Linked DNA regions of Tribolium castaneum. The protein of the gene in region 1 purifies or fractionates together with the protein of each later gene. This does not show direct contact. Links are inferred from orthologs where the notes say so. Each region holds a gene or a part of one and is shown on either strand. Other genes may lie near its edges. The genes, in order: proteasome adapter and scaffold protein ECM29 and Rpt4.

The links.
Region 2: the proteins of proteasome adapter and scaffold protein ECM29 (region 1) and Rpt4 purify together in Homo sapiens (affinity purification with western blotting; 3 studies listed by BioGRID and IntAct, with this or other methods). This does not show direct contact. The link is inferred for Tribolium castaneum from reciprocal best matches to the Homo sapiens genes ECPAS and PSMC6.

Annotation. Positions count from the first base shown.
Region 1 is NC_087395.1:15,616,011-15,619,934, reverse strand, and holds the start of proteasome adapter and scaffold protein ECM29, read left to right. Parts: upstream 1-1,016; 5' UTR 1,017-1,120; coding exon 1,121-1,151; intron 1,152-1,268; coding exon 1,269-1,399; intron 1,400-1,447; coding exon 1,448-1,564; intron 1,565-1,615; coding exon 1,616-1,884; intron 1,885-3,097; coding exon 3,098-3,227; intron 3,228-3,276; coding exon 3,277-3,416; intron 3,417-3,471; coding exon 3,472-3,741; intron 3,742-3,924. Other genes in the region: mucin-4, read right to left, coding at 1-249, 300-517, 569-652. UniProt on the Homo sapiens protein: Adapter/scaffolding protein that binds to the 26S proteasome, motor proteins and other compartment specific proteins. May couple the proteasome to different compartments including endosome, endoplasmic reticulum and centrosome.
Region 2 is NC_087394.1:9,241,955-9,245,878, forward strand, and holds the start of Rpt4 (26S proteasome regulatory subunit 10B), read right to left. Parts: upstream 2,202-3,924; 5' UTR 2,072-2,201; coding exon 1,978-2,071; intron 1,931-1,977; coding exon 1,811-1,930; intron 1,763-1,810; coding exon 1,152-1,762; intron 1,097-1,151; coding exon 882-1,096; intron 1-881. UniProt on the Homo sapiens protein: Component of the 26S proteasome, a multiprotein complex involved in the ATP-dependent degradation of ubiquitinated proteins.

The DNA.
Region 1 (3,924 bases):
TTGGCGCTGCACATGTACTCCATGTTTAGGCTACTGTTGTTTATCAATTCCTTCCAACAGTCGTACGCTTTCAGTCTCTGCTCGGTTGAGGAGGAGTTTCGGAACGCAACCTCCACCTCTTTCAGCAGTTTGTTACCGGTGCCTTGCCTCGAGTGGAGCTTCTCGTTGCTTAACTTAATCAAAAACTCCCACAGTTGGTCCCAATGCGGGTAGTTACTGTCTCGCAACTGGCCGACAACTTTAATGTACCTTAAATTCGTTACATTGTGACTAGCTCATTTCTCGTGTAACTGACTCACGTGTTGTCAATCGCAGCGAAGACTTCCTCTTGGTCTTTGGTATCTAACGTGGAAACAGTAACAAACTGGACGAAATGAGAGCCAAGCTCAATCAGCTCGTCTCTAATCCAGTCATCTACATTTTTGGCAAACATAGCCGGTACAAGTTTCGTTACGAAAACATCAATGCACTTATCTCTAGGTAGAGTACTTGTTAGCCTCTTAACCGCAGCCTTTATCTGGAAGACAACCGCTTTTAGTAAGAGTTTACACCACAAGTGCAAAAAAACCTCAGCAATCTCATTTGTTCTTTCGTTAAATAATTCAATGAGATCAAAGCTCCCGCTTTGCACTTGGGACACTATTTCGTTCATTTTAAAGCCTTACTAACATAGAGAGCCCGAAAACTTATTTAAAACACATCGATCACAAACTTAGCGTCTCAATGTCAACGCGGGAATTCTGTGTCATGGCCCCGCGATAGGGAAGTTTGGTAGGGTGCGGTTGGCTACCCCGACAATTTTTCAAAAAAAAATATAATAATTATCAAAAAATAGCCAAAGAACGATTTAACGTGATTTAATTGAAACTTGAAAGCTCTTTAAATTTTAAAATTTAAAGAAAATCGTGTTATTGTGCACTCGTGCCCGCTCCCGACATTCTTGTGGCCGAAAATGTTATTTCACACATCCAATTAATTACATTTTTATGAACTAGTTGAGTATTTGCCACGTTCACACGTTGTAATTTTAATGAATGTTGTAATTTTGCAACGTTTTCGAATTTTTGTGTTAGGGATTTTTTGCTACATTTGTTTGACAGGAGCTGCCAAATAAATAAATATGGCCATGGCGGACTCTGCAAATGAATTGAGTGAGTATTTTAAATAAAAAACAAATTACGTATTAAAAGCATGTGTGCGCTGTGTTAATAACGTAAACACACATTTTTTAAATATTTTTTGTAATGTTTTTGTTACTTGTGTTTTAGTGCTCCTGGAGCGGGTGTTTTTGCGTTTGGGCTCAGCTGATAGTGACGAGCAGCTCCAAAACCTCCTTTCTAAGTTCCTGACCCCCGTTTTACTAAAACTGGCATCCCCTGAGGAAAGCGTTCGCAAGAAAGTAATATAATGACTCATCAAAAATGCAGCACTGACTGTTGATTTTAAGGTGATGGAGCTGCTAATACATGTAAATAAACGGGTGAAAACGCGGCCTCAAATCCAGCTGCCTGTGGAAGATTTGATCAAACAGTATCAAGACCCGGCATCTACCTCATTTGTCACGGTATGGTTGTATTACTGAAACGCCCCCTCACTCATGTTTTTCCAAAATTAGAATTTTACAATTATTTATATTAAACTGGGGTTCCCACGACTGAGTGCTGACAGACAGGCCGAACTTGTCCCAGTCATTTTGAATGCGTTGGAGCAGAAACCTGTTGCTCATTTGGACAGCATTCTTTTGTTGGTTGTACTGGTGTTGGGTAAAGTTAAGGTCCCGACTGAGCCTGAGAAGGTGGCGACTTTGTTTGGCTTGAATGAGAAGCCGCAAATTGCCAAACATTTGCTTGACATGCTCTTGGATATGCTTCTCTTGCCTTATGGGTAATTATGATGAAACATACGGAGGACTAAAACTAGGGGGCGAAAATTTGACGCTTCTTTCTATATTTTTTAAAAAAGTTACGAATACAGTACCAAAAATAGCAAAAAACTAGCAAAGTTTTAGAGAATCCAGTTTCCTTAAGGTTGAAACAACACTGAACTCCCTTAAATAGAAACAGTTCAAACAAAAAAAAAAAAACTTAAAGATCGTTTTTTACCATTAGATATTAAAGCATTACCTCACAGGTCAGGTCTTATCTCTTTTTAAATAATAGTATTTGAGTTTTAACGTTTTAAAAAAACTTAATAGTTTTTGTTCTTATGAAACTTAATAATAGGTTTAAATCAAATAAAAAAAAATACATTGGGTCATAAAAATTTTCAAAAATTACAAAAAATTGTGTTGAATATTTTTTTTATGAAAAGTTCACAATCTTAATTTTTTAAATGTGTTAATTACGGTTAACTATCGACAAATATGTGTACGAAAAGTTGATTGTAATTTGAAATAAATACAAAGTGGTTATTTAAGAAATTTATTTCTGATTTTTTCTCCAAATGTTAAAATCTGTAATTGTTTGAAAATTAAAAAATTAATTCATGATTGCATTGGCTTGAAAAAAAAACAAATTAATATCTTTAAAGCCCGAAAACTTTGCAGTTTAAGTGCTAAATTCTACACTTTCAAGTCACTAAAATTAGCTATGCATTTATTAAAATCTCCTTTTTGTAGTGTAGTTTAGTTGTTTATTTATTTGTTTTTTTTTAATTTATTTGTTGGAGCAAATAGCATGTTCTAATTTTTATTTAACAACAAAATATTTACATAAATTTTTGATATCTTTAACGTTATCAAATCTAAAGTCTTTGGTATTTCTAACTACAAATATTTTCAAGCCATTATTTACGATTTGCAACATCTAAAATACCTTAATTATTAAAATATTACTTACCCACTTGTAAAATACAAGGAAAAGTAATTTATTTGTAGAGAATTGTGTAAACTTAATTATGTATCTTTTTCTTAATGTTTTTTATGTCTTTAATCGTATTCGCACTATTCGTAGAGTTTAAATAAATTGCTAAAAAATGCTATTTTCTCTTATATTTTTTGGTATTTTTTTTGTTTCTCTTCGACTTTTGCCCACTGTCCCCTCCTGATTTTAGTCCAACGTAAACTTAATTAAGATATCAAGTCAGACTTGAATTGTAGGGCGCTTTCACCTCAAACGCCTGAAAATGAGCAAAGATCAGTATCCCTCCCTGTGCCCCCTTGCATGAGCCTTCACTCCTTTAAACGCATAACTTTAAACAACCCCTTGAAACCAGAAGAACTGGAAGAGGTACACATTCGAATTTTTTTCCCTTCATCAATCAGAAACTAATTTGTAGATCAAACTGGGAATCGTACGATTTCTAGCACATGGTGTTTTCAAAGACGAGGATATTTTAATTCACCTCGTGGTAGCAGCCGCCGATACGCGTTTCACTGTAGCTAATTTAGCCGACATGGAATTGAAAAAAGTCGTCGGGTAATTGATTTGCTCCTTTGTCGTTTATTTTTTCTTATTAAATGTGTTTTTTTAGCTCTGTAGATTGGGGCTCCCTAAGTGTCGTTATGCCCCTATTTACCATGTTTTTAGGTTCACAATCGAAAAATCTAAAAGAGGATCAGATCAAATCAGCTGCTAGTACCAGGATAAGGCTTAAACTTTTGACTTATTTGTGCCGAATCACAGGAAAGGCTTTCGCATTTCCCGCTTCCATTCAGCTGATTTTTGACTCGTTGTACGGCAGTAACACCAACACCAGGCTCAAGACTTTGGCCCTGAACTTCACCATGAATCTCGTCAGATAGTGAGTAAATTATAGCTCATTTTTCCAACTCTATTTCGTAATAACAGCGTCCGATAAAAAAGTTTATTACGTTAGTAGTGGTTTTTTCTTGTCAGTATTTTGTACAAGTTAAAGTTTACTCTTTGTTCTTTTTATAATTTTTTTCTTTAAATGTAGAGGATGAAGTCAACACATGGCGTGATT
Region 2 (3,924 bases), on another chromosome or scaffold:
TTCAAATTAAGCCGAAAAATTACAACATTTGATCCAAAACAACGATCAGTTCTTGAATTAAAATTTTAAGTTTAAAGATATTGCTAAAACAAATAGAAAAATCACCAAATTAAAACACAAAGTACTCAATGTTTTGCTTTTTTGAGTGTTTAGCACGTTTTTGAGTAAGAAACGAAAATATTTCATATTTATTTGAACCAAACTAAAAAATCAATAAAATTTCGCCAAAATAAATTGATTTTTGCTTTTTTCAGATAATTAATAATTAGCGAAAAATTTCGCTAATTAGCTAAAAAATTGCCAAATTTGATCGTAATTGATAGTAATTTAAAACTCATCAAATACAGCAACTTTTCTATACAACATTTTGCAAAATTCTTATTTAAAATTTTCATTGTTTTCCTCCTTTCTCTTCTGCAAACGAGCCGATCATTGTTTAATAATTGGTTTGTATTCTTTCCATTCTTGTTTTAAATTGTTTAAATTGTCTGTTTCTATCACAACGAAAATAGTTCAGCTCTTTTATTTTTGAACCCATAGGCACAAGTTTCATTATGATCTTTTTCCAAATTTTATGTAAATATGCGATTTTTATATTGAAAAATTACAAATAGAAAAGATGTTTTATTTGTTGAGTTCTGTTACCTGTTAAAATTAAGACACGTATTTCTGATACAGCCTGTATTTTGTAAAAACTTGTCAAAACACACCTCAAATTTAAAACAGTATTCTAACAAAATAAAATACAAATCTCTGTTTTACTGTGTTTGTTACTTATACGCCAAATTGTAATTTATTTATTTCATTTTTTTATCTTCTCTTAAAATGTTGGAACGTCACAACGAAATTAACTCAAAATTGTTTATTTATAATTCAATTACCTTAAGTCAGCGCCATTGAACGTGTCAGACAGCTTAACAATCGCTTCATAATCAATTTCCCCATGTTTCGCTATAGGCCCAGCATGGATTTTCAAAATTTCAAGTCGGGCTTGTTCATTAGGAAGCGGGATTTCAATTTTACGATCCAGACGACCTGGACGCAACAAAGCAGGATCCAAAGTATCGGGCCTATTCGTGGCCATAATCATTTTAACCTGAAATCAATACACAAATGAACAACTCCCAAAATTTCTCTCAAACCGAACTGACTTGACCAAGAGAATCAAACCCATCCATCTGATTCAACAACTCCATCAAAGTCCGCTGAATTTCCCGATCAGCTGACGTCCCCTCGGAAAACCTCCGACCCCCAATAGCATCGATCTCATCCATGAAAATAATGCAAGGCTGATGATCTTTCGCATAATTAAACATTTCTCGAATGAGTCGAGCCGACTCTCCAATGTATTTATCAACGATAGCACTTGAGACAACTTTGAGGAAATTTGCGTCCAGCTGTGAGGCCACAGCCCGGGCTAGGAGGGTTTTGCCAGTGCCTGGGGGGCCGTACAGGAGACAACCTTTCGGGGGGGTTATGCCCACCCTCATGAACAGTTCGGGGTTCATGAGGGGCAACTCTATGACTTCACGGAGCTCGCGAATTTGCTCGGACAAACCACCAATTGCCGAGTATGTGACATCGCCGGGGTCCTCATGACTCATGTTGTAAACAAGGGGGTCGACTTCTCGGGGCAAATAACGCATTATTGTCAACGTGGTCATGTCGAGAGCAACACGAGTCCCTGCTTTCAACTTGGTCTTATCAAGTTGCCGGCGACAGCCCACCACGTAACGGGGGCCATTCGTTGCCTTAACAATAACTAAAAAGCACTCTTGTTGATTACTGTTTTCACAAAAGAGAAACTCACATTTCTCCTCAGTTAGCTGTTTCAAAACCTCGCCAACAATTTGGCCCATGCTTTGCAGCGCCTTAAGGTCATTCTCTGACTTGTCGTATTGTTTTGTTAGGTCTTTTAACTGTTCTCGCACTGTTTAACAATTAGTAAAACAAATAAGTTAGAGGAGAGTGACTTACTCTCTTTCAAGCGAGACTCGACTTCTTTGTGTTCCACAAGTTTTTTCCGGTATTCCTGGAGGCTTTTCTCGCGTTCGGGCTCAGTTTGTGTCATTTTGACTCACTTTTTAGTCAGGATTTTCGAAAGTTATTTCACTAAAGGCACAATGACTGGCAGAACACCACAACACCGCACTTTTGGTTTTGACAGCAGGTAGGGAAATTTAATTTTTTCAAACATCGGCCAGAGTCGCCAACCTAGTGAATGCTTCAGTTTTACGGAATTTTGAAAGAACTTTTTTGTAACACAAGACATCTGTTTTAATTCTGTTCTGTAGGGAAAGAGGTCGTGTTACAAAATAATATTATCATATATTTTAAATACAAGGTGATTAAATTTAAGTAAGATGCAACCAACAATACACATTACATTTGAGGATTGCTCTAATTCTAATTAGTCAAAATAATAACTAATATTAATGTGTGCAGCGAGAATCAGGACCGCGCCAACGTACTAAAGAGTTAAGAAAAATTTCATTTTTGGCCAAAACAGTTTTTTCTTTATAAAAAAAAGTTGTTACTCCGAGTGCGTGTTTTTAGGCGACCGAAAAAAGCATACATTTTCAACCCATTGCAATAAAATTCTTGATATTTTTTTAAGAAATTTTGTGAAATAATCGATCATCTGATTAAATTGCATTTTCGTTTCGCTCTTAAACGTAAAATCATCAATGTTTTTAAACCAATTATACGATTTTTCAGTTTGTTTTTATCGAAATTTTGCAAAAAATGTGTCTTCAAATAAAAAACTATCAAATAATGCGAAGTAATACGTTTTTTTTTGCAAAAATTTAAGCATAAAAAAATATAACATTTTTTTATTCAATTTTATGATTTTTTTATTTTTACTTAATTTTATTTTATTCTAAATAATTGCGTTTTTTAGTACATTTTTCGACCGTTTTGTTGAAATATTTTTGGACAATTTTAAAAAATTTCGCTTGGTTATTTGTGAAAATTCATTAAACAACTGCGTTTTTGAATCAAAATGGGTTAAAATATCACAAAAATTAAAATAATCTACTTTTTATGCAATTTAATGAGTTTTTGGTTCATTTTAAAGAAATTTTGCAAAATAATTGCGTTTCTATAAAACGGGGTAAAACGCTTGAGGTAGCCAAATTAAATTAATAATTTATTAATATTGTAAATATTAAATGTTTACCGAATTTTTGAAATCTTGTGTTCAACTCGTCAGGAAAACTGATTTTTTTCTATTCATAACGTGTTTTTATCTTAGCTTTCCCTCAACACAAAATCGCACGTCTAAAATTCTTTAAAATCTTTTTTAATGTTTTTTTAGGATTTCCCGATTTCGCAAACTTTTTATTTCACCCTCTTTATATCCTGCCATTTTCTCTATTTTTGCAGGAAATCAAGCCCTCTAATAGGGCCTTCGACTGTAAAAAAATCATGTTCGGAAAAAATACCTTGAGACCTTAACGAATTTTTTTAGTTATTATAAATTTACTCGATTTTGCAAACTGCGTTAAAATGATTCGTATTTAAGGATTGCTCTAATTAGCCGAATCATTAACCAATTTGTCCTGCAAGAACCACGTGGAGGTTTAGAGCATTCTTGCCAAAAAAAAAGGAAATAAGGATGAGGTAAACAATGATCATTAGAAAATGAAGAGAATAATGAAATTATTGGTTATGAAATGAAAAAAATACAACACGTGAATCAAATATTTTTCATTTGGCGTTGAATAAAATGCACCTACCTTCATATGTAAATAATAAATAAATAATACACAATACGTCTCAATATATGGCACTCAAACTGTTAAATTCAACACATCAGTAGATAAATGCAAAAAAATGCACCTACCTTCATATGGCTTCCGCGTTGACTACTGTTTGTAGCATTTAAAAGCTTTTAAATAGCAAATACGATACATCTTTAAG